Rhinolophus ferrumequinum: one gene and its partners. The protein of the gene in region 3 interacts with the protein of the main gene of each other region in a biochemical or structural test. Links are inferred from orthologs where the notes say so. Each region holds a gene or a part of one and is shown on either strand. Other genes may lie near its edges.

Region 1 (6,912 bases), on a different chromosome or scaffold from region 3:
AACAATAAAGTGGCAGACTAAAGCCTTAACATACCAGTAATTACATTACATACAAACGGTCTATTTTATTTGTCAAAGCCAAAAACTGGAAACAACCAAAATGTCCAATAGTTGAATGGTGAGACAAATTGTGGTAAACCCACACCAGCGAAACTTCCTCAACCATAAAGGGAAATGGACTATAGATATACGCAATAGGTTGAATAGATCTCAAGTGCCTTAGCTGAGTGAAAAAGGCCAATACTATATGATCTTATTTACATAACATTCTGGAAATGGCAAAATCATTTTCTAGAGATAGAAAACAGATTAGTGACCAAGGCTTAGGAATGGTGAGAGGAATGGGACGGGTGTAATTATAACGTGGTAGCACAAAGGATATCTTTGTGGTGAGGGAAGAGTTCTGTATCTTGATTGTAGTAGTGGTTTTATGAATGTACGTGTGATAAAATGACATAAAACTGTACGCACACACATTGTACCAAGTCAATGTCCTGGATTTGATATTGTATTATAGTTACGTAAGACGTCATCATAAGACAAAACTGAGTGAAACACATGATCTCGCTTTTTGCAACCTAATGTAAATCTACAATTACTTTAAAATATCACATATAAACTATATATACATATGTGTATGTATCCAAAGCATAGAAAATATTTGCAAAAATAGGCATACAAATTAACAGTGGTAATGATATATCTGTATTATTTGAAATTTTTAAAAAACGAATGTCTTCATGAATTTCTTATATAAAAAGAATGTAAAATTATTGTAAAAAATTCAAGTACAGAAAAATATAAACAAGATGAAAGTCACCTGCCTTATGATGCCATCAAGATAATTTCATTAATTCATTTAACAAATACTTACTGAGTGCATCATATGGTGCTATGAACTGTTAACATTTTGTACATTTCAGAATTTTCCTGTGTATCCAGTTATATACAAATAATAATCATTCACTGATATTTATTATAAGCAAAATATGTATTATTATACAATATGTTCTCACTACTTGACCTTCTATTCATTCATTATTCATCTATTCACCAAATATTTATTGAGTACCTGCTTCAGCCAACATCATGTGAGACTCTGAGACTATAATGGTAAATAAGCCAGACATGGTCTGTTTCCTCACAGAGCTTACAGTATAGTGAAAGACTGTCACTACACAAATTTTCTGAAAGGAATACACAATTACAGATACTGTCAAGTTTGGACAATATAAACAATACTTTAAAACACCCAACTGTGCAAGGAAAGGATAGCAAGATATCATGTCATGTTTATGATGAAAATGAGCCAGTAGAGAGAGATGTTAAACATACAAGAGGAAAAGAAAGGGATACTGGATTTACAGAAAACTTCCTGAGAAGAAAGGAGCCAGAGTACAAATATAAGGGTTGGCTTCCGGTGGAAGGAAAACTGCTACATTGAAATAGAAGCAAAAGAAGCTAGGACAAGTACAGAGGTGACTTAGTTTGTAGATTTACAGTCAAAAATTGAGGCAATTCCTCTTTGAGACCTTCTATTTTCTTAGCAAAATATAAGGCAATGTCATCTTCCAAAAGCAAGGATGTAAACTGGAAGATCTGAGGTATGAAGAGAGTTGAGTTTTTAAAGTAGTCATTTGGGAAAGGAAATTGAATAGAAAAAGGTAGTAAACTTGCCAGGCTGAATTAAGGGCTTGTAGAGTCTGTCCTATGGGGCAGAATGTAACCATTTTCAGCTCACTGACTGCAATCAGGAAAAAGGCAAGGTAATACATAGGTATTAGAACAGAGAAACAAAGTACTACAGTGAATTTAAAAAAAAAAAAAAGAGGGTTGTTTCTCAACTGGAAGGAGGAAGAAAATGGTCTGAGAGAGAAAAGGGAAGGAAGAAAATAGGTCAGGGGAAGATGGAGATAAAAGCAGGGAGGTGGTGGATTTCTGGCCAGGGTACAGGAATGTCCTTTTGTCTTCCATGGCCACAGTGATAATTTATCATCTGATTTTGTGAAACTGGTTCCATATTTCTTTTAGTCTTTTAGACCTGTCAATCCATGGAAACCCTCCGGGGGAGTTCCCAGGAATCTTAGTTACTGCAGAGAAGTATGAGTGAGGCACAAGGATATCATCCATGCATTAGAACAGAGGCTCTAGTGAGCAACAGGAGGCAGAAGTTTAGTTTTTCTCTTCTTATTGGTAGTTGTGTGCTGTTGTGAGCCCTTAGGTCCGTTCTGTACTCATTCCTAGTTACCAAAGGTCCAGTTCCTTTACTCAAATGATATCTTTCAATCTACTCCAAGTGTTTTCTTACCATTATTTTTGATTTCATGAATGTTTAGCTAAATAGAAATGGACTTGGAGGAACTAAGATTGGGCCAAAGATAACTTAGAACCATCTGTTAAATGGATCATTTGTCCAAAACACTCTACCATTATTACTCTTGGAGAAATACTACTTACTAGTCAACACTTGGCGATTATTAAATTATCTACACTCTAGTAATACCAAACTTATCAGTCCCTTTATACAATGGCTATTCCATTATTAAAGAGAAGAACTTCCATATGAGTCCTGTTGCTTAGCATTAGTGAAGCTCAAAAGTTTTAGGTGACCTTGATGATTAACAAAAACAAGCTTCTCTCAATCACAATAGCAAGAAAATATAAAGTGGCCAAGCAGCTGGTTAGCACATGAACAAGGCAAGGAAGAGACTGGATTGAAAGAAAATTGTAACTCATTCTAGAGTCCAGTTCCTTTTCTTTTGAACATTAGTTTGGCTGGATTGCTAATGCATGATTTTTCTACAAGTTATTTTAATTTAGGGTTTTCCCTTCCTCTTTTTTTTTGAACAAAAGGGCAGCTTTCCTTTTGAAAACACACTTCGTTTTTTAAAATTACCAAAAGAGAGAGGGAAGTAAAATAGTGTGTGTCTTAACTAAAACATTGTTAAGAAACAAAACTTGGCTCTTTGCTTCCCTTCCATCACAGCCAAAAGGGAAACACATTACACTGCTGTCAAGAAGAAGTGAAAATACAGGTAATTCAAGGACTGGTACATAGTTGGAGGTCAATGTTATTTTCGCATTTCCCTCTTCCTTTTTAAAACGTAGGATTTGTTTGACACCATATACAACAATCTAGTGGACAATGATTTTTTTTCTTTCTTTTCTGGCTAACAGCCAGGGGTGCACGTCGGTAGTTCGCTCTATGAACCTGATAGGGGCCGCTCTGAATTTCCATTAAAGTCTGGAATTCTTTCGACAGGGTTTGTAATTGGCTTTCCTCGCATTCAGAGGGAAGATGGAACGAAGGTGGGGATGGGCGCGTGGCAATACAACTTGATACAATACTATAATCTCCAGGGCAGCTCTTATATTGAGATTTGTTTCTTTGGTTCTCTGAGTTGCTGAGGCTTGCACCTTCCCTTTCCTGACAATCCTCGGTTTCCCTTACGGACTGGGTAAATGGGTAGAATTCTAATCATTAGCTTCTGAAACTAGCAGTGTTGGTGGCCCCTGGTGCCAGAGAAGGGTCTCAAGTCTCCAGTCTTCAAAGGCTACCTTTCAGGTCTCATTCGGAACCTGGACAAAGCCAACGAGTCCCAGTCCCGAGTTCCACGAAGATCTCAGCACACCCTACCCACCTCCGACTGGACGAAACGATACCGGTGACAAATCCCCGAAGCACCTTCGCAGCTCGGAGCCCACAAGCGGGCGCATGCGCAGAACGGAGCGAGCCGACAGCCATCCAGGGATCGTAGGCGTCTGCACAGTGGTCACAGTCTCGGAAAGGCCTGGCTCCCCTGTCGCCGTGAGCGGACCCCTGGCAGCAGCTCTCTAGGATTACTACCCGAAGAGAAACAACGGAAGCAACTGTTCACCATCCAGCGCGTTTCCGCTTCAAACCCTGACTTCCGGTTCGTCAGCCGGTTCCGTCCTTGCTTTTCACTTCCGGTCGCCTTCCGTTCCGCTGCAGCCGGTTCTACGTCCGCTGCTGCCGGGGCCGCCGTACTCCAGGTGAGGGGACTCGGGGCACCCCGGCGTGCCGCCCGCGAGACACCGATGGCCCGGAGGACAGCAGTGTTGCTGTGCTCGGGACCTTCGCTGCCGCCGGCCGTGGCGGGCTGGGGGCTGCTGGTGGGCGCCGCGGGCCGCGTCTGCCCTAGTCGGCCGCCCAGGCCTCCGGCCCTGACTCGCTGGCTGCACGGGCCGCCGCCCTCGCATCCGGCCTTCTCGCGTAGATCGAGGGCTTCCCGCACCCCAGTAGGCGCAGCGTCCCCAAACTTCATTCCTCCCTCTTCCAGGGTTTGAGCATCTCTCCCCCTCACTCTCGCTTATTGAAGACACCCGGGCCCTCGTGGGTTTTGGGGTCTGTCCCTGCTTTCTCGGCTATTCCATGCCCGTCACTTCGCACAGCTCTTGCCTCTGCACTATCACTCAGTTGCTGCTGCTCTGCTGTCCTGAGTCGGCGTTGCCAGTAATGCTGCTTCACACACCTTTCACTAGGCTTGTTGAAAAGTTAGCCCCCTGCCCTCAATTCCCAACTTGTGCACGTTTGCTGCTATGACTTTCATATTTCCGCCTGTGCTACTGTTCAGGTGTTAGGCAGGTTGGTTTACTTCTTTTTGAGTTTTCTGATCTGTTTAATAATATTAAAACTATCACAATTTGACTCAAAAGGTCCATTTGGCTTTTTCTTGAGGATCGTACATTTGTAAGAGCAAGTTCTCTAAAATGGAATGCATTGCCCTAAAGTAACACTTTATTTAAATTTTTGTTAGGTTGGTGCCAAAGTAATTGCGGTTTAAAAGGTTAAAAATTGCAAAAACTGTGATTACCTTGGCACCAACCCAATAGCAGAACAGGTTGTAAACATAAGAGAGTAAATATAAGTGAGTTTATGGTGCTCTCCTAACAGACATGTTGAAGACACCTTACATTTCCAAATGATTTTTGCATGTGAAGATTCAGAAGTAGCCTTCTTTCTTGCAGTTGGTTGTAATGAGTGCAATTAAAGATTTCAATAAATAAGTGACAGCATTTGGAAATACCAGTACTTTGAGATTAGAAAATCCACTTCTCTGGCCTGTGGGGGTAACAAACTAACGAAAACTGGTAGAAAGCTTTGTGGGGGAAAAGACCTACATGCTGTTGTCGATAAGAATAGCAGCTGCTATATCATTGTTGTGCGCTAATATCTGTGCCTGTGAGTTTTGTATTTATTGATTTTTTTTATTTTTTAGTTTTATTTTTTTGTTTTAAGGAAGGCGCAGCTCACAGCGGCCCATGCGGGGATCAAACCGACAACCTTGGTGCTACCAGCACCACTGCTCTAACCAACTGAGCTAACTGGGGACACCCCCCCTTTTCTTTTTAACTTTGATGCGTTAACTCCTGTAGGTCCAATTCAAGAGAGACAGTTGTATAGGGAAAAATCATGAGAGTTAGTCAGAAGACCTGTTCAGTTACCAGCTGTGAGCCCATGAACACATTACATAACCTCTCTGAACTCCCATTTCCTTAATTATAAAATAGGATAATTTTTATCAAACCTTTTAAATGAGATTATCTATGTAAAAACTCCCAATTTATTAAATAGGAAACAAATAATGGCCATTTTACTGTTTAGCACAGTGCCTGGAACACTTCCAGTTTTTTAAAAATTGTATTTAACCAATACTTATAATGCTTACTGTGTGCCACATACCGTGTGACTTCTAAATATTAACTAATTTCATCTTCATAAGAACCCTGAGGTGTAGTTAGTATTATCATCCCTATTTTGCAGATGAGAAAGCCTAGGCACTAGAGAGTCAAGTTACTTCCCAAAGTCAAATAGTTGCTAAATGGGAGAGTTGGGATCTGAATCCAAATAATCTGGCTCTAGAGTTTGTGCTCTTAACAACTCACCACACTACCTCTCAAGTGTCAAATGAACAGTGGTTCATCATGGAGAAACTTTGCCTGTAGCATAAACCTGATCAAAAGAGAAGAAGGGTTAGGTAGCTCATTATTGCGGCTTTCCAATTGCACAGAGAAAATCTGATAGATTATTAGAAAGTAGTAACTCTAAGCCAAAAACTGGGAGGGTGGAGGAATTTTAACTTGAGTCCTAATAACTTTGGGCATTCTGGTAACATCACTGTAAGAAAATCCTGTTTCTCTACTATCAAATTGTAAAATAGAACTCAAACTGTACAGCTTATGAAACTTGTTACAGGTTTGGATACATCTTTGATATATTTCTTTTAACTTGTTTATTGGTATATGCCTTCCTTCTAGGTATTTTTTTCTGAACAAAAGCTGCCTCAACATATGTTTCAAGGATGGCTCTCCCTATTATCGTAAAATGGGGCGGACAGGAATATTCAGTGACCACACTTTCAGAGGATGATACTGTACTAGATCTCAAACAATTTCTCAAGACCCTTACAGGAGTGCTACCAGAACGACAGAAGTTACTTGGACTTAAAGTTAAAGGTAATTCTCTCCTCACTTCAAATTTTTTGCATTGATATGAATTTTTATATTAGCTGTTAACTATTCTCCTTAATAAGTCTTTCCCCGTGGAGATTTCTTTTGTAGGGATATTTGTAAAATTTTTTGATAATAAGTAAGAATCTTAAAGATTACTTGAAAATACCACCACAATTAAGATTACTTTTGATTCCTCCGATTGTTGGTGTTTGCTTGTTAAACACATTTAGCACAGGAGACCCAGGTAAAACACTTAAGTTTTGACAACTATCTTTTAGCACAGCATTTTCATTACAGCTTGGGCCTTGTTCACTTCCCAGATTTTCTTCTCTGTTTTGAAAGTAATGATGATTTAAAATGATGATAGCAGTTATAGGCAGTGTTCATACCTAGTCTAAAAGGGACTTTCATGGTGTCGATGTTTGTCATATTATTGAA
Region 2 (7,390 bases), on a different chromosome or scaffold from region 3:
CCCCGTTTGTGGCTGGAGCCAGGACTCCAGCGCCGCCCAGACTCAGCTGGTCAGGAGGAAAGCTGCCCAGGCCAGAGTCTCCTCCTGAGAACTGGGCCTGAGATCCAGCCGCCTCAGCGGGGCACCTGCACTAGGAAACCACCCGGGCCAAGGTCCTGCGCAGGTGAAAGGAGAAAGCCGTCTGCGGAGCGCCAAGAATGAAGGAGGTGGTACAGGCCAGGAAGAAAGCCAGTAACCACCATGGTGCTGATGACTTGCTGTCCGGATGTTCCTGTCCTTCCATTCTGGGAGATACCATCTTATCCTCCCCATACACTTGTTTTTTGTTTTTTGTTTTTGCCTACTAAGCCAGTTTCAGTGGATTCCTGTACCTGTAATCAAATGACCTCTAAGATATCCTTCTATGTACTACCAAGAAATGGAAAAATACTGCCAATAAACTATGTCATGCCACCATGGTGCATCCTGACTTCAGAAATATTAAAAAGCGGGAACCTGTGACTCAGCATCATGGGATCCAGTACGTTATTCCATGCACACTGTTCCATGCGCTGGGATACCCTTCCTGTTTCTCACCTCCCCAAATTCTGCGGGTCCTTCAAGACTAAGCCCCAACCAACTCCAGCGTTTCCTGGGTCAGCCCAAGGAAATCCAGATGTAGTAATTACTCTCTCGTTATTTAACTGACTTGTTTAAGTCACATCTCCCTAACAAGATCATACTGAGGACGCGGACTTTTCCTTCGGTTTCAAACCCTACACAGAGCTTTGAGAAATAAACACTAAAAATACTAACTTACTTTGAGAAAAAAGACATATTTATTCAAAAGGTGGCACTATTCAGTTTTCCACTAGGCTCAAGAAAGAAAAGATTCAAATAATCTAAATCATAGAAAAGATCGTTATATCTTTTTGTTTTTTAAATGAGGGAAAGGCCTAAGCTGCAGCCAACGAGAATTAGGAAGATACGAGAATTAGGAAGATACGTGTATGTAGTTGTTCAACATCGCAGTTGTCAGGAAGCAAAATGAAAACTACAGTGACACGACATCCCCGCCAAAACTGCCCGAATGACGAGGGGTGACAGTACTAAGTGTTGACAAGGAAGTGAAGCCACTGAAACCCTCTGCCTCTGCAGGCACCCCACGCAGGGAGGCCGGCAGTGTGCACTGGCGCCCACGTGTCACACACGACCAGCATGAGCGTACACGCCGCCAACACACACACACAACTGCCCATAAAACAGAATGATCACTGGTGTGTTCACACAACACAGAACAAGACGGTGGGTTCCACCTCAGACAGAATGCTGAGCCAGAGGCCAGATGGACAGAAAGAGACAAACTGCATGTGACCCCACGCACGGACGTTCAACAGGCAAAACCAACGTGGGACGGTAACAGGTGGGACGGTAGTCGTGCATGGGGAGGGCGCAGGACCGGCCTGAGGAACGCTGGGAATGCCCGGCGGTCACGTGGACAACTCCTTGAAGCTGAACCTCCCTGGAGAGCAGCCCAGAGTCTTCTCAGGACACCGGGCCCGGCGGAGGGGCCAGCGCGTCACACCCCCACCCTCGCCGCGGGCAGCCTGCAGCCGATGACTACTACGGGGGGATGCGAAACGCCAGCCCCTTCCCTCCACAGGGACAACTGGGGTGCCAGCCGCTGTGCAGGGTTCTCACTGGGATGGGCCCCCGCCCCCCTCCTCCCCTCCTCAGCGGCACCCACACAAGGTGTCCTCAGGCCCTTCTAGGGGACAAAGCCTAAGGAAGCATGTGCACTTAAGGTTGGTGATGTACGGTAAGTCTGTATGTCAATAAAAAGGAGGGAAAAAGGGGAAAAAATTGTTTTGCACAGCTCAAAAGCAAGATGCGCGCTCTCCCCTTGAGAGTCAGGTCAAATGACAAGTCCTGTCCCCGGAAAAGAGACGGGCTGCTCGGTGGAAACCAGGTTCGGTCCCCCGCAGGGCAGGCCCGGGCACTCCAGTCTGCAGCGGAAGGCACAGGCGCCACACACGCGAAGGGACGTGGATCCTGGGGTGGGCACCTGCCACCGCCTCGCTGTGCGCTCCCATGGGCAGAGTAACCACAGTTGGTCCGCCCTTACCCTAAACAATTACGATGACAATAATTACATGACGAATCGTAAAAGACACACACGTATTTCCCTCCAGAAATGTGTCTCCAGAAGGCCGGCAAAGAGTAAGTTTCACAGCCTCGTATTCACCCACGCGGCCCCTCCGCGGTTCTGCCTCAATTTCCCAGACTGCCGCCGCGCACACACACACCTGTTCACTTCCGACAACAGACAACACCGTGCGGTACTCCCCTAGGGCAGGCGTGACGAAGGGTCTGAAGTCCCTCCGGAGAAGACGCACCGCGGCCGCGCCGCCGTTTCCTCACGGCCCGAGCCGAAAGGCCGTCCGTCCCCCCCGCGCCCCCTCGCAGGAGCGGAGACGCCGGGAGCGGGGCGGGCGGGCGCTCGCGCTCTGCGAAGCCCTGCCCCCGTCAGCCTGCCCTCCACACCTGCTCCAAACCCCGGGGCCGGTGACACGGCAGGGGCCGGCGCGGTCTCGAGGGCGGAGCCGGAGCCCGCGGCCGCCCCCGGCCCCCGCCCGCCCGCCCGCCCGCCCGCCGGGGGCCCAGACGCCGCGGACACTCGCAGGCCGCTCTTACCTTCCTACTCGCGCCTCCCAGAGACACCTTGGGCCTCGTTTTGAAATCCCCTTCAAAACTAAACATCTTTGCAGCTTATCCCATCTGGGAGGAGCCCCGGATCCTGAGAGCAGCGGGCCGGGCGGGGAGGGGCTCCGGGGGTGGGGTCCCGGGGGAGGGGTCTCCTGCGGGGGGGCCTCCGGCGGGGAAAACGAGGCCGCTCCTGGAAGCGACCCCGAGGCCACCCTGGGGACTCTGCCCGCCCGGGCCTGCCCTCGGGTGGGGGGGCGGCGACACTGGAGGGCGGCTCCTCCTCGCCTCCCCCGTCATCCACGCCTCCCCACCGCTCCGGTCGGGGCTGAGGGCGCCGCAGGGAAGCGGACCCCGCACTTGCACCAGCAGCAGCCGCCGGGAGGGAAGATGGCCGCCGGCCGCCGTCGCCGTGCGCGGCCCCGCCGCCGTGCGCGTGCCCGCCATCGACGCCGCGGCGCTCCTCCCGGCGCCCTGCCAGCGGGCGCGCGCCCGCCATCGACGCCGCGGCGCTCCTCCCGGCGCCCTGCCAGCGTGCGCGAGCCCGCCATCGACGCCACGGCACTCCTCCCGGCGCCCGCCCTTGATGGCGCGTCGGAGCGTGGGAACGTGCCGCGGTGACCTGGGTCTGCGGCCAGGGCGCGTAGGTGGGGCCGGGGGCGGGGCCGTGTGGGCGGGGCCGAGGGTCGTGCGTGCCCGCGACCCGGAATTGGACTCGGATGTCGGGTGTGTGTATGTCTGGGAAGCGGGCTCGTAGCCTTCAGTATGATGCCCAGCGACTGATCTGGGAAGAGAAGGATAGGTTTTATTACATCCTTAGTTCCTGCAGGGAGTGCATACATTTCACGTGGTAACCTGGTTCTCGTGTGTACTTCGCACGCACATGTATCATACACATGCATACACGTACACAGAAATGTATGTTATGTACACACATATACACGTCACGTGCACATGTGTACATAAATATATCATATACACATACATATGTATTATAGACATAGGACTAAAAACCAAATTTTACAAAGTAATACTTATCACTGTGTCGGATGCACTGCTTTTTTTTTTACTCTTTTTTTTTTTTAATGCTGCTTGCAAACCACTGTTGTAGCTTCTAAGACACACCTATTCCATCACCTAAAATCAAAAATAGTGACAGCCCCAAATGCTGGCAAGGAGGCAGAGAAACCTGACCTCCCATATGTAAAATGTGACAGTCACGCTGGGGAAGTTTGGCAGTTTCTTCTTTAAAAGATGAAACATAAGGGGGTTGGGGGGTGGGAGATGAGGATAAGGGGGATCAAATATATGGTGATGGAAGGAGAGCTGACGCTGGGTGGTGAACACTAATGTGATTTATGGATGATGTAATACAGAATTGTACACCTGAAATCTATGTAACTTTACTAACAATTGTCACCCCAATAAATTTAAAAAAAAAAGACGAAACATACACAATCTCAGGAAAATCCTGCCTCCACCGCCCCACACATACACTATATATATATATAGTTCAATAACTAGGTCACCCTATAGAATACGAATATATTTTTTATTGTAAGTCGGGAGCAAAAACTTTTGAAAGCCACTGGATCAGTGTGCTGTTTCCCATCAATACAGACGTCTACTCTGATATATCAAGATGCTTGAGTCATTAAAAAATCTCCAAATTTTACCAATTTTGAAATATTACAGATTTTGTAAATACAACATCACATTTTTCTTAAGCTGTCAAATGGGCAAAGATTAAAAATATTGGTGATATCCAGTATGTGCTCTTAGTCAGTGAACTGCTCTGAGGTCTGAGGTTTTGCCTCAGATAAACTCTTTGAGGTCTAGCCCAGGAGTGAGGAGCGGGCAAGCCCCACTGACTGGAACACCAAGCCCAGTTAGTTCTCCATTGTCAGCTTTGCTGGTAATTAAGGTGTGTTGTCTCCATCTGCTGGGGATTGTTCAAGTATTCTCATGGGCTAAGAACGTAGGGAGGGCGGTGGTGCTATATTTACTGGGCCTCTACAAATCCCAGCACTGCTGTCCCCTCATTTGGTCTCACGTGTCCCTCTTGCTGTGGTGTAAGCACCCCTGTGCTAACTCTGGTGCTTTTATTTGGTGGCCCTATCGTGTGAGGGACCACTTCACTTGGTACTCACTCCACTGAAGAATGAGTAAGCTGCCCCCATGCCAGAGGGAAAACGGGCTTATCCAAAGAGTGTCTCCGACATGCCGATACCTACTGAAGGATTTTCAAAGATTTTTAAAATACCCTTTTATAGAAAATTTCAAGCCTAATAATGCAGAGAGAATAGTATAATCAATCCCATCAGCTAGTTGTGATGATTATCAACTCATGGCCAATCTTGTGTAACTTACACGCCACTTGTTAACCACTGTCCTCCATTATTGATATTATTTCATGTGTAAATATCTCAGTATGTTTCTTTAAACGCGGGATGTTTTTGAAGACATAGTTATCACCCTACAAAAACCAACAGCAATTTTCCACGATAGTTTTGACAATAAAAGATTCCCAACCACATGTGCTTGCCTCAGAACTGAGTGCCTGTGAAACGTGACTCCAGGGTGCCTTACCAAATACGTGTCTTCTTCCAGCCTACAGACTCCGTAGGCGTGAAGAAGCTGAGCAGCTCCCTCTCGTACCTACTGCAGTGCGTACGACAGGCCCTCAAATATATGTGAATTCAATCGATTACTAACACAAAGCAGTGGAAAGAGGTAGGTTGAAAACCATAACTTCTACGACACACCTATTTGAACACCTAAAATGAAAAATAGGGACAGCCCCAAACACTGGCAAGGAGGCAGAGAAACCTGACCTCCCCTGTGTAAAATGTGACAGCCACACTGGAAAAGAGTTTAGCAGTTTCTTTTTTAAAAGATGAAACATACACTTACCTTACCACCCAGCAATTACACTCCTGTACATTGATCCCAGGGTAATAAAAACGTATGTTCACATGTCATTTATACATAAATGTTCACATTAGCTTTATTTGTATTGTCCAGATCTGGAAACAACCAAAAGAGTGATGGTCAAGCCACCTGCTGCGACCCCAGCTTGGATATTACTAAGCAGTAATCAAAGAACAAACTATTGGCACACACAGCGACTTGGGTGCTCTCATGAGGCTGAGAGAAAAAGTCACACCCAAATGGTCACATACTGGGTAATTCCACGTATATGGCAAAATGACAGAATCACAGAGACAGACTGGCTTTGTAGTTGTGACGGGGAGGAGGGCAGGTGGGATGACTCAGACGGCAGGAGGAGGGAGGTCAGTTCCACATCTTGGTCTTGGTGGCGGTTACATGAACTCCACGTGACCAAATGACACAGCGCTGTGAACACACACTGCCAGTGCCATGGCTCCGGTTGGCTGCTGTGCTGTCATTATGTCAGACGCAGCAATGGGGCATCTGGGGGGCGCATACAGGACATCTCTGTACTATTTTTGCAACTCCCTGTGATTCTGTAACTATCTCAAAATAGAATTTTCAGATACAGCCTAAAATAATAATAATAATAATCTCGAATACCCCTTACAGGTGAGGTTTTTCTGGTGTCTGAAAGAGCCCTGCATGCCTCATCCTCCTCAATTAGAAAGCATGCTTCCTTTCTTCTATTTCTTTGCTCCAAATCCATCTAATGCAACATATGCAGTATATTTTTAAGCTTTTGTTTGGGAAGCAGTAAGACTTCAATTTATGTGAAGATTCTGGCTAAAAATTGTAAATTGTTTCAGAAGGTGTTTTGTAACTTGCAGGAGAGGAAGGGAAGAATTCCTGCCACCAGGACTGCATTTACTCATTTTCTCTTCTCTTGCACACCTTGTCTAAGTTACCTACAATTCAAACATTCGGGAAAGATTACCCAGATTTTTATTGTAAGGATTTATTATTTAGAATAATGATGCATATTAATTATTAACATAAATCAAAACAATATCGATACAAGCAAAGTATAAGAGAAACTTTCCATGTACCCTACACCCCTCATCTGTCTATCCATCTATCATCTATTATCCATCTATCATCTATCTATTATTTATTATCATCTATTATCTACCTATCATATCATCTATCTATCCATCCATCTTAGTTTCTTAGTACTGTTGCTGTAACAAATTATCCCAAACTTAGTGACTTCAACAACAGAGATTGATTATCGTACAGTGTGGGAGTCAGAAGTGTCACTGGGCTAAAACCTGGGTGTGTACAGAGCTGTGCTCCTTCTGGAGGTTCTGGGGAGAATCCATGCCCTTGCCATTTCCAGCTTCTAGAGGTTTCCAGGGTTCCTAGGCACATGGCGCCTTCCACTCTGGCATCACGCCTACCTCTGCTTCCGTCCTCCCATGTCAGACGCTGGCCCTCCTGCCTCCCTCTGATAACCACGGTCCCACTCAGATAACCAGGACTACTGCCCCATCTCGAGATCCCTAACTTATCCCATCTGCTAAGTCCCTATTGCCAGGGAAGGTACTGTTCACAGGTTCTGGGGATGAGGGTGCGAACATCTTTGGGTGTGGGGGGCATTATTCTGTGTGCCAACCTGTGTATCTAGGATTGTTCTGTTCTTAAAAGAGATCATACTCCCCGCAAGCCCCCAACCACTTGCTTTTGTACCGAATGCACCATGGATGCCCTTCCCTGGCAGTGCTCAGATACAGCACCCTACGTTTGCCTCAGGGTG
Region 3 (7,914 bases):
AAATGTCCCCCCCACCTCCCACGCAAGCTTATCTCTTCCTTTGCTGACTTCTTCCCTACATACACATCCTTGCAGGAGGTGAAGATGTCTTCGACCAGCTCCATGTCATTGAGCATCAATGCCAACCTCAGAGCTTCAGGGAAGCGACTGAACTTTCGGAACACACCCAAGGCACAACGTAGCAGAGCAGAGTTCTCAGGCTCGGGCACGTAATTCACACAACTACGAAGGTAAAAATAATAAAGGAATCAGAAGTTCCAGACATTCATTTACCCCATTTAATTCACTTACCCAAAATAAATACTAAATGCCTGCTGTATACATACCAGGCACTATACTAGACGGTGGGACTACTAAGGAGACATGATGTCTCTGTCCTCAGCTTACAGACAATAAATTAGCTTACAGACAATAAATTAACTACAGTCTGACACTACCTTTGATGCAGGTGTTCTGGGAAAATAGAGGAGGCACAATTAAGAGAGAAGTGCTGGGAAGGGAGGCCTGCCACCATTCCCTACCGTGCTTACGCACCTGGTGAGATAGAGGCAGACCTTTGCATATGCGTTCTCATCAATGTCCTTCTCCAGCATATCCACCTGCTCGATTTCCATGAGCAGGTCGCAGGCCTCATGCTCCGCATTGTGGGCCATGTTGTAGGGGACAATCTCCTTCACAAGGGTCAGCAGTGGCTCCCGCTGTGTCTTCTCTGCATCATCCAGCTCCTGCCACTCCTTAGCCACTTCTCCTGCTAGATGCCTATGGATAGACAGGCCGAAACCATTAAGGGAGCACAGCTTCCCAGGAAGCACTTCCCTGTGGGTCAAGGAATTTAACGTCTGCGAAACTCAATCCACTGGTACTCCAAAACAGATAGTACCCCCAGGTCCTCCCAAGACTAAACTCAGAATTATGCCTCAGCACCCCTTTCAGATTCCCAAGGAAAGGTCTTACCTGACATACTCATGACCCCATGATGCTAATTCCTCTTGGGATCCCACTAGCCGATACTTGAGGCATTCACGCTCCCCACTCATGGTCATGGCCAAAACAGAGATGATATCAGCAGCAAACCGCTATAAAGAAACAAGTCTTTGAAGTCATATCCAAGGTAAGGGAGGGTGTTACATTATGTAATCAAGACCACTATCACTAGCCCCCAAATTAAGCACTAACTATACACCAGCTTCTATACTAGAAATTTACACACGTTATCTAAGCTAAGCCTCATGATAACTCTAAGGTTAGTGTTGCTACCTCCCTTTTAACCCAACATGGCTAAAGGGCGACAATAAGGGGAAAGTGGAGAAAGATGGATTGTTGATGTTATTCTAATCACAACAATAAACTATTAATTGAAAAGTTTTAAGCAGAAAACACTCACAATCTAGAAAGATTACTATGGCTGCTATATGAAAAACAAACTGTGTAGGAGGTCAAGAACAAAAGGAAAAAGGCCAGTTAGGAGGCTGCTTCACTAATTCAGGTGAAAACTGAAGATTTCCTGGATTAGCATTATTCCAACAGGCAAAGAAGTGATTGAACTGGGGACATATTTTAGAGATAAAACGAATGAATGTACATGGGATGTGAGGAAAGAAAAAAGTTAAGGTTACACTGAAATAAATAGATCATAATAATGAAATCCCAAGGTCCAACATACATGACAGAAACAGTACCTTCTGTTCACAAAAGAAAGCAATCCTCTTGTCTGCTCTTAAGTGAGTATTTTGACTGTGATAAGCTCTGTTCAGCCAGCTCAGATCTCAGGTCTGTCAGGCTTCCTGTAGGACTTCCCATGAGCCCCATGGTCTTGATGAAAAGGAATTCCTAAACTAGGCCTCCACCAACGCCGGAAATAGTTTTACCTTATTCTCTCCAGGGGCCATGTTCTCATAGATTTCCTTCAGCTTGCCATAGTGTGGACGCAGAAATTTGAGAGGCTTGGGCACTGACGTCATGGACGTTGTAGAAGAACGAATTTGCCTTCGCAGTTCCTCCAGGGCTGGTCGGTACAGGGATGTGTCCTTCTCCTGAAAAGGAGATGTAGGGGTCAGACAAAAAGTTATAATACATCCCTCATGTCATAATACACAGCTGTTTAACAACTCCCCTAGGAAGTCACTGTCTTATTCATCTGTGATTCTCCAACTACCTGCACACTGCCTGGCACAAAAACAAATGACCCCAGTGAAGAGTTCGAGAACTGCTTTTCCCAGGAGAGACAGCTACAAAATCTTTTAAATATCCTTTGTTACTTTCCTCTCTCACAACTTCGCCATAACACTGACCCTAAAATACAGTCCACCTTTCCCTATACCTCATATAGGACTTCTTGCCCCAAAATGGACTGAAACAAACAAGTGGGAAAGCTCCAAACACGCACCAGCTCCTGTTAACATATCATGACTCACCCCCAGTCGTTCCACGAGCATCTCCAGTTCATCCTGAAGTTGTTTGTCCTCTTCAGACTGGAGAGTTGGGGTAAGAGGCTCATCAAGAGAAGGAATCCCAAACACATCCTCCTCCCATTCACCCTGGGGCAGGTGGAGAGTGAGCCTGCCTCCTTAGGGACCAGGTGGACAAGGAGAGACAGCGGGAATGGGATGCCCTGGCGGGAAGGCAGCTTGGTTTCTGGACCAGGCTCTGCGTGAATGCCATTCTAAAAACTGGGGTGACAATGACCCGCCCGGGCCCACATCACCAGACGGTGGTGAGGGCTGGCGGGGGTGGCGGAGGTTACCGCGCGGAATGGAGGATGAGGGGCAGAGAGGCGGGGTGCCGGGAGCCCCGAGGGTCTCCCCATCCGCCCTCCCCCGAGCGCCGCGGGGCCGTTGGGAGTCGGGCCCGAGGCCTGCGGCACCTCCGTGACTCAGCCTGCGGCCTCCTCCGCCGGCCCCCGGGGCCACACCTCACCAGCTCCTGCTCTTTGTCTTTGTCCCCAGCATCCCGCCGGTCCTTGCCGCCCGGCTTCTCGTCTGCGCCGCCTGGGGCCGTCACTGGGGGCTGCTGGGGCTGCAGCGGTGCCTTGTCTCTGCCTCCCTCCTCCATCTCCACGGCCACTGCCGGCCAGCTGCGTGCGCACCACTCGCACCTCCCCGTTTCCCAGGTAGCATCGCGCGCGTCGCTCAAGGCTCCCTCCACCTCCAGAGCCCGCCTGCGACCGGAAACGTCGCCGAAACCTAAGCGCCCCAGCCCTCGGAAGCCAAATGAAAACTACAATTCCCAGCCTCCCGCGCGCCATAAGCACCGCCTCTGGACCTAGAGTTTCCTGAACTCCACGGGAGTCTGCAGTCTGGGATTCGTACGTGTTGGTGAGCTGGCTGCGAACCGAGAGACCATCCATAGGTATCTTCATAGCTGTGTGATTAGTACTCACAGTTGTTAGTACCCCAGTTGGATGCGTGGTGGGACAAACGGACGAGATTCTTGAAAGCCAGACGCTTGATTGCCGTCTATGTGAAGTTTGTGTAATCTAGGTGTAGCTCCATACCACAGTGGAATATTGACCTCATTACATTCCCTCCTACCCCCAGTTGAAGGAAAGTACTCCAGTATTACCGTGAAGATATGGCTACTACCTTAAATCCACCTGCGGAGCCAGGTGGAGTAAAAATTAATAAAGTCTTATGCTCCAATGCTAAGTTCCGGAGCTGAAAACAGAACAAGACAAGGTCTTTGTCCTGTCTGTTTTGGTATTCCTCTCCCTGTTATGAGGAATACCTCTCCCTGTTATGAGGAATACTCTGTGTCAGGACTGATTTTGAATATTACATTTTGTTCTCACAACCTTTTAAGTTTGGCAGGGTTTTGTCCATTTTACAGAGAAAATTATATGGTAAGGAGTAGAATCAGGAATTGAATACTGATCCTTCTGTCTTTCAAGCCCTTGACTGTTTCAGGCAAACCTCAAAATTTCTTCGGTTGGGCTAGGTATGAATCCAGAAGGTGAGAAAGGAGGGAGTAATTTTTCTCCCCTTCATCTGATGAGAACACTCATCATTTGGCCTGGCGTCTTATTTTATGGGTTCTCAGACATTAAAGAATGCAGAAAATTTGTTTAAAAAAAAACTAGTACAACATGATTAGCACTGAAAAAATGTTGGCTAAATATTTGTATACATATACCTGTAAAGGTCTGAAGCCCATTTTAAAACCTGTTGCTCATTTCCACTCACTGCTAGGATTCTGGGGATGACTTTGCCTTTGCAGAGCCAATGACTCCCCAGTCCTGCTCTGCTGACAGAAATTGGGCAGCCGATAGCCGTTCTGCCTCGTCTATCTCTGGATTCAAGATGTCCATACATTGTCATGCTTTCTTCAGTCATCTGTAAATGTATTTCTCCTAAATCTCTTGTTTTTCCATGACTTCTTTCTCTCAAGTCTCAGCTTTTGTCTTCTATATCAGTCATGTCCCAGCCAGCACCTTAGAGGAGATGGGGTGATGTGGCATAAAACACAGGCTGTCAACAGCTGGCGACTCCAGAGGAAGAATCTAGGAATATTTGTTGCACTATGTTTCAACTTTTTTGTAGGGTTGAAATGTCGAAAATAAAAAGTTGGAGTGAGTAGGAGAACATAAGCTTTAGAGAGAGACAGACCTGGTATTTAAAGTCAAATTCTGCCCTTCATTAGTTGTGATAATTAGTCAAGTTTTCTAACCTCTCTCAGCCTGGTTTCTGCCTCTGTGAAATGTGGGTAATAAAATATCTCCCTCATAAGTTGTTATGAGAATGAAATAAAACAGTGTATATAAAGCCGCTAGCTTTACCTTTATACCTGGCAACTAGAAAGCAGGGAGTTGTCATTTTCCAACTACCTCAGATCTGCAGGGCTGACTGAGGTAAACATTCTTGTTTCCTGCCCCCCACCTCCAAGCATTCAAGCCCCCAAGCCTCTCCAGCCAAATGCAAATGTCTGGCAGTAATTTTCAAGGCCCCACGATAACACTGATGTCCTGCCTCAAGCTTCGGTTCAGTCAAATTGCCTTCCCAGAAGCACTCCTTCCTACCATTTGGCCAAACTCCCAGCCCTGTGGCCAAATTGCTCTCCAATAAGGGACCAGCTCATCACCTGTTCCTTCCTACCACCTTCCTTCAAATTGCATCCACAAGCCTGCCATGCTGCCCCCAAACTCATGGCCTGAGAGGTAGAGCTACACATCTGATGGATGGCTCTGCTCATCTGAGAACCATTCAAGACAACACATCACTTATGTAACACCAGAAGTGATCCTGGCAGGACACAACTTCGCACTGTTTCCACTAGGTTGCTACTTTCTTCGTGTGATATTTTTCAGTCAGATTGCACTGTGGCCCTTCTTTCTATTAATTCCCAGGACAGCAGGGAATCCCCTCTTTTCGTACCTACTGTCACAACTTCCCTTCTCCGGATTCTCACCTCTCATTATGCCCCTTCTGGTCATCCTAAACATTTCACCATGTCTGAACACACCCTGCCCTTCAGGCTGATCAGCCTTTTCACACTACTTATTCCTTCTGTATGGAATGCCCTTCACTGTTTTCAGCTAACAAATTCTCCCATCCTCTGCACTCCAGCTCAATGTCACCTGTTTAGGAAGCTTTTCCTACTCCACCCTTCAAGCTATTAATTTCTTCCCTGTGCTCTCACCGTGCTTGATACATGTCTCCCTCCCTAGACTCTGAGCTCTTAGAGGACAGGAACTGTGTGCCCCTAGCACTCAGCCTAATGCCTGGCTTGTGGTAGGCCTTGACAAATACTTCTTGAATGAATGAATGAATGAATGAATGGCTTTGCATTCATCTTCAGGTCATCTTTATGTATAGTAATGGCCCATCAGGGGCTGTCTTTGGAGCCCAGAGCTGGGCATTGGGAAACCGTCCAGATTCTGCATTTGTGAGTCAGTATGGGCCCACTGAAACTGCTTATTTTATAGGGGACTCTCTTCCAGCCTGACATGTCCAGCGTGTTTCCAAGTGTGAAATCATATTGTTTGGCATTTGTTACCTAATTGTGCATGGGATTTAGTCAAACTTCCCAGTGGGATAGTGTAGGGCATGGCCCAGCACCTTACCAATAACGGCTCCCACGTGCCCATCCAGGAGCACCGCCTTTAATCCTCCTCCTGCCTTCACACCCCAGAGCATTTCACAGGTGCATATTCATCAGCTTGGCAGGGCTACCGAGGGTAAAGGTCTGTCACCTGATGTTCACCTTGCCTTGCTTCTGGAACCAAGGACCTGTAGAGTGCTCAACAAACAGGTGTTACCTGGCTGAATTTCAGCTCAACATGTGCCTGTTTCCTGCAGCTGCCTGGGTGTCACATGTGCCTGGGCCAGGGGAGCTGAGTAGCATGGAAATGTACCTGCTGGTGATGGTCTCACTTGGATGTATGAGGAAATCGCCCAGAAGACAGATGTCTCTGCTGGAGTCTAAAGTCTGTCATGACTTAGAAAACTAAATGCTGGTGATTAAGAGCATCTGAGTTCCAGATGTTACTTTAATGCAATCTGACATTGGAAGTTATGTAATCTTTGTCCTTAGTTTCTCTACTTGTAAAATAGAGACAATGATAGAACCTCCTTATAAGTTATTGTGGGAATTTAATGAGATGATGTTTCTAAAGAGCTTAGGACAGGCTTAAGCCAAATAGGGACTCAATAAATGAAAGTTGCTTTTTATAATGATTTTATTATCATTATTAGGCATTTTGACCTTTCTGCAAATATGGAGTTTCTATGTCCCAATGGCCCGCTGGTCAGCATCCTAAGTTTGTCTCTGAAATCAGATGTCAAGGGAAAGGCAAGACTTTATGCTGCCAAGCTATTCTCTTCCCTCATTATGCTGTCTGACATTATAAATCTCATCTTCTGTGCAACACCCAAACTTCACAAGTCATTTCTCAATATTTCTTTGGATTCCAGAATTTGATAAGTCCATGAATTCCTTCTTTTTTTTTTTTTATATTTTTTTAAAGATTTTATTGGGGTAGGGGAACAGGACTTTATTGGGGAACAGTGTGTACTTCCAGGCCTGTTTTCCAAGTCAAGTTGTTGTCCTTTCAATCTTAGTTGTGGAGGGTGCCGGGAGCTCAGCGGCAGCTCAGCTCAAGGTGCCCTGTTCAATCTTAGTTGCAAGGGGCGGAGCCCACCATCCCTTGAGGGAGTCGAGGAATCGAACTGGCAACCTTGTGGTTGAGAGCCCACTGGCCCATGTGGGAATCGAACCGGCAGCCTTCGGAGTTAGGAGCATGGAGCTCTAACCACCTGAGCCACCGGGCCGGCCCCATGAATTCCTTCTTAAAACATTAAAGCTGAACTGGTCCTCAGACATCACCTCACCCAACCCACGTATTTTAAAGACTGCTAAGGATACTGAGCCCTGAAGAGGGGGTGAGACATGCGTACTGTCACGTATTTAGGGGGTGGTAGACTTGGAGCCAGAAGCAGGTTTCCAGATGTGATGGTCCCCCTTTCCAACGCATTTTGCTGTCCCTTCTAGAGTCAATGTTCGCAGAGGCTCACGCCGTGCCTTCCCTTGGTCTTAGAGTTCCCAAGGCCACTTTGGTCCTTTCTGAGTAGCCAGCTATTTCCTTCCATTGGTGAGCAGCCAGCACTTTCAAATAACTTGACAGAGGCCCAAGTATAGCACTTTATGGGGCAAGTCTGGTGCTGGGACAGGATACCAACGATGGGAACATACTTGTGTCATCACCTGGGGACCAGGGACCCCAGCACCAATCAATGGCAAAGCCTCACACTTACCCTTCCAAATTCAACAAACCCACCCCCACCTCGGGGAACAGTGAGTTTTAAAGAGAATTGAGACTGGACTCTCTACTGTTTTGCTCTAGTTGTCGTTTTACAGGTAAAGAAACTGAGACTCATGGAGGTTAGGGAATGGGCTCAGGTTCATATAGCTATCAGGGCTTCG

What was found.
Region 1: the proteins of PSMD2 (region 3) and UBLCP1 form a complex in vitro, tested with the Homo sapiens proteins (3 studies listed by BioGRID). The link is inferred for Rhinolophus ferrumequinum from reciprocal best matches to the Homo sapiens genes PSMD2 and UBLCP1.
Region 2: the proteins of PSMD2 (region 3) and UBE3C form a complex in vitro, tested with the Homo sapiens proteins (2 studies listed by BioGRID). The link is inferred for Rhinolophus ferrumequinum from reciprocal best matches to the Homo sapiens genes PSMD2 and UBE3C.

What each region holds. Positions count from the first base shown.
Region 1 is NC_046307.1:28,968,088-28,974,999, forward strand, and holds the start of UBLCP1 (ubiquitin-like domain-containing CTD phosphatase 1), read left to right. Parts: upstream 1-3,881; 5' UTR 3,882-4,014; intron 4,015-6,279; 5' UTR 6,280-6,323; coding exon 6,324-6,477; intron 6,478-6,912. UniProt on the Homo sapiens protein: Dephosphorylates 26S nuclear proteasomes, thereby decreasing their proteolytic activity. Recruited to the 19S regulatory particle of the 26S proteasome through its interaction with 19S component PSMD2/RPN1.
Region 2 is NC_046309.1:878,530-885,919, forward strand, and holds the start of UBE3C (ubiquitin-protein ligase E3C), read right to left. Parts: upstream 3,095-7,390; 5' UTR 2,740-3,094; coding exon 2,674-2,739; intron 2,305-2,673; exon of another isoform or gene 2,286-2,304; intron 1-2,285. UniProt on the Homo sapiens protein: E3 ubiquitin-protein ligase that specifically catalyzes 'Lys-29'- and 'Lys-48'-linked polyubiquitin chains.
Region 3 is NC_046285.1:60,849,454-60,857,367, forward strand, and holds the start of PSMD2 (26S proteasome non-ATPase regulatory subunit 2), read right to left. Parts: upstream 3,104-7,914; 5' UTR 3,052-3,103; coding exon 2,917-3,051; intron 2,472-2,916; coding exon 2,415-2,471; intron 2,034-2,414; coding exon 1,869-2,033; intron 1,077-1,868; coding exon 955-1,076; intron 760-954; coding exon 535-759; intron 223-534; coding exon 64-222; intron 1-63. UniProt on the Homo sapiens protein: Component of the 26S proteasome, a multiprotein complex involved in the ATP-dependent degradation of ubiquitinated proteins.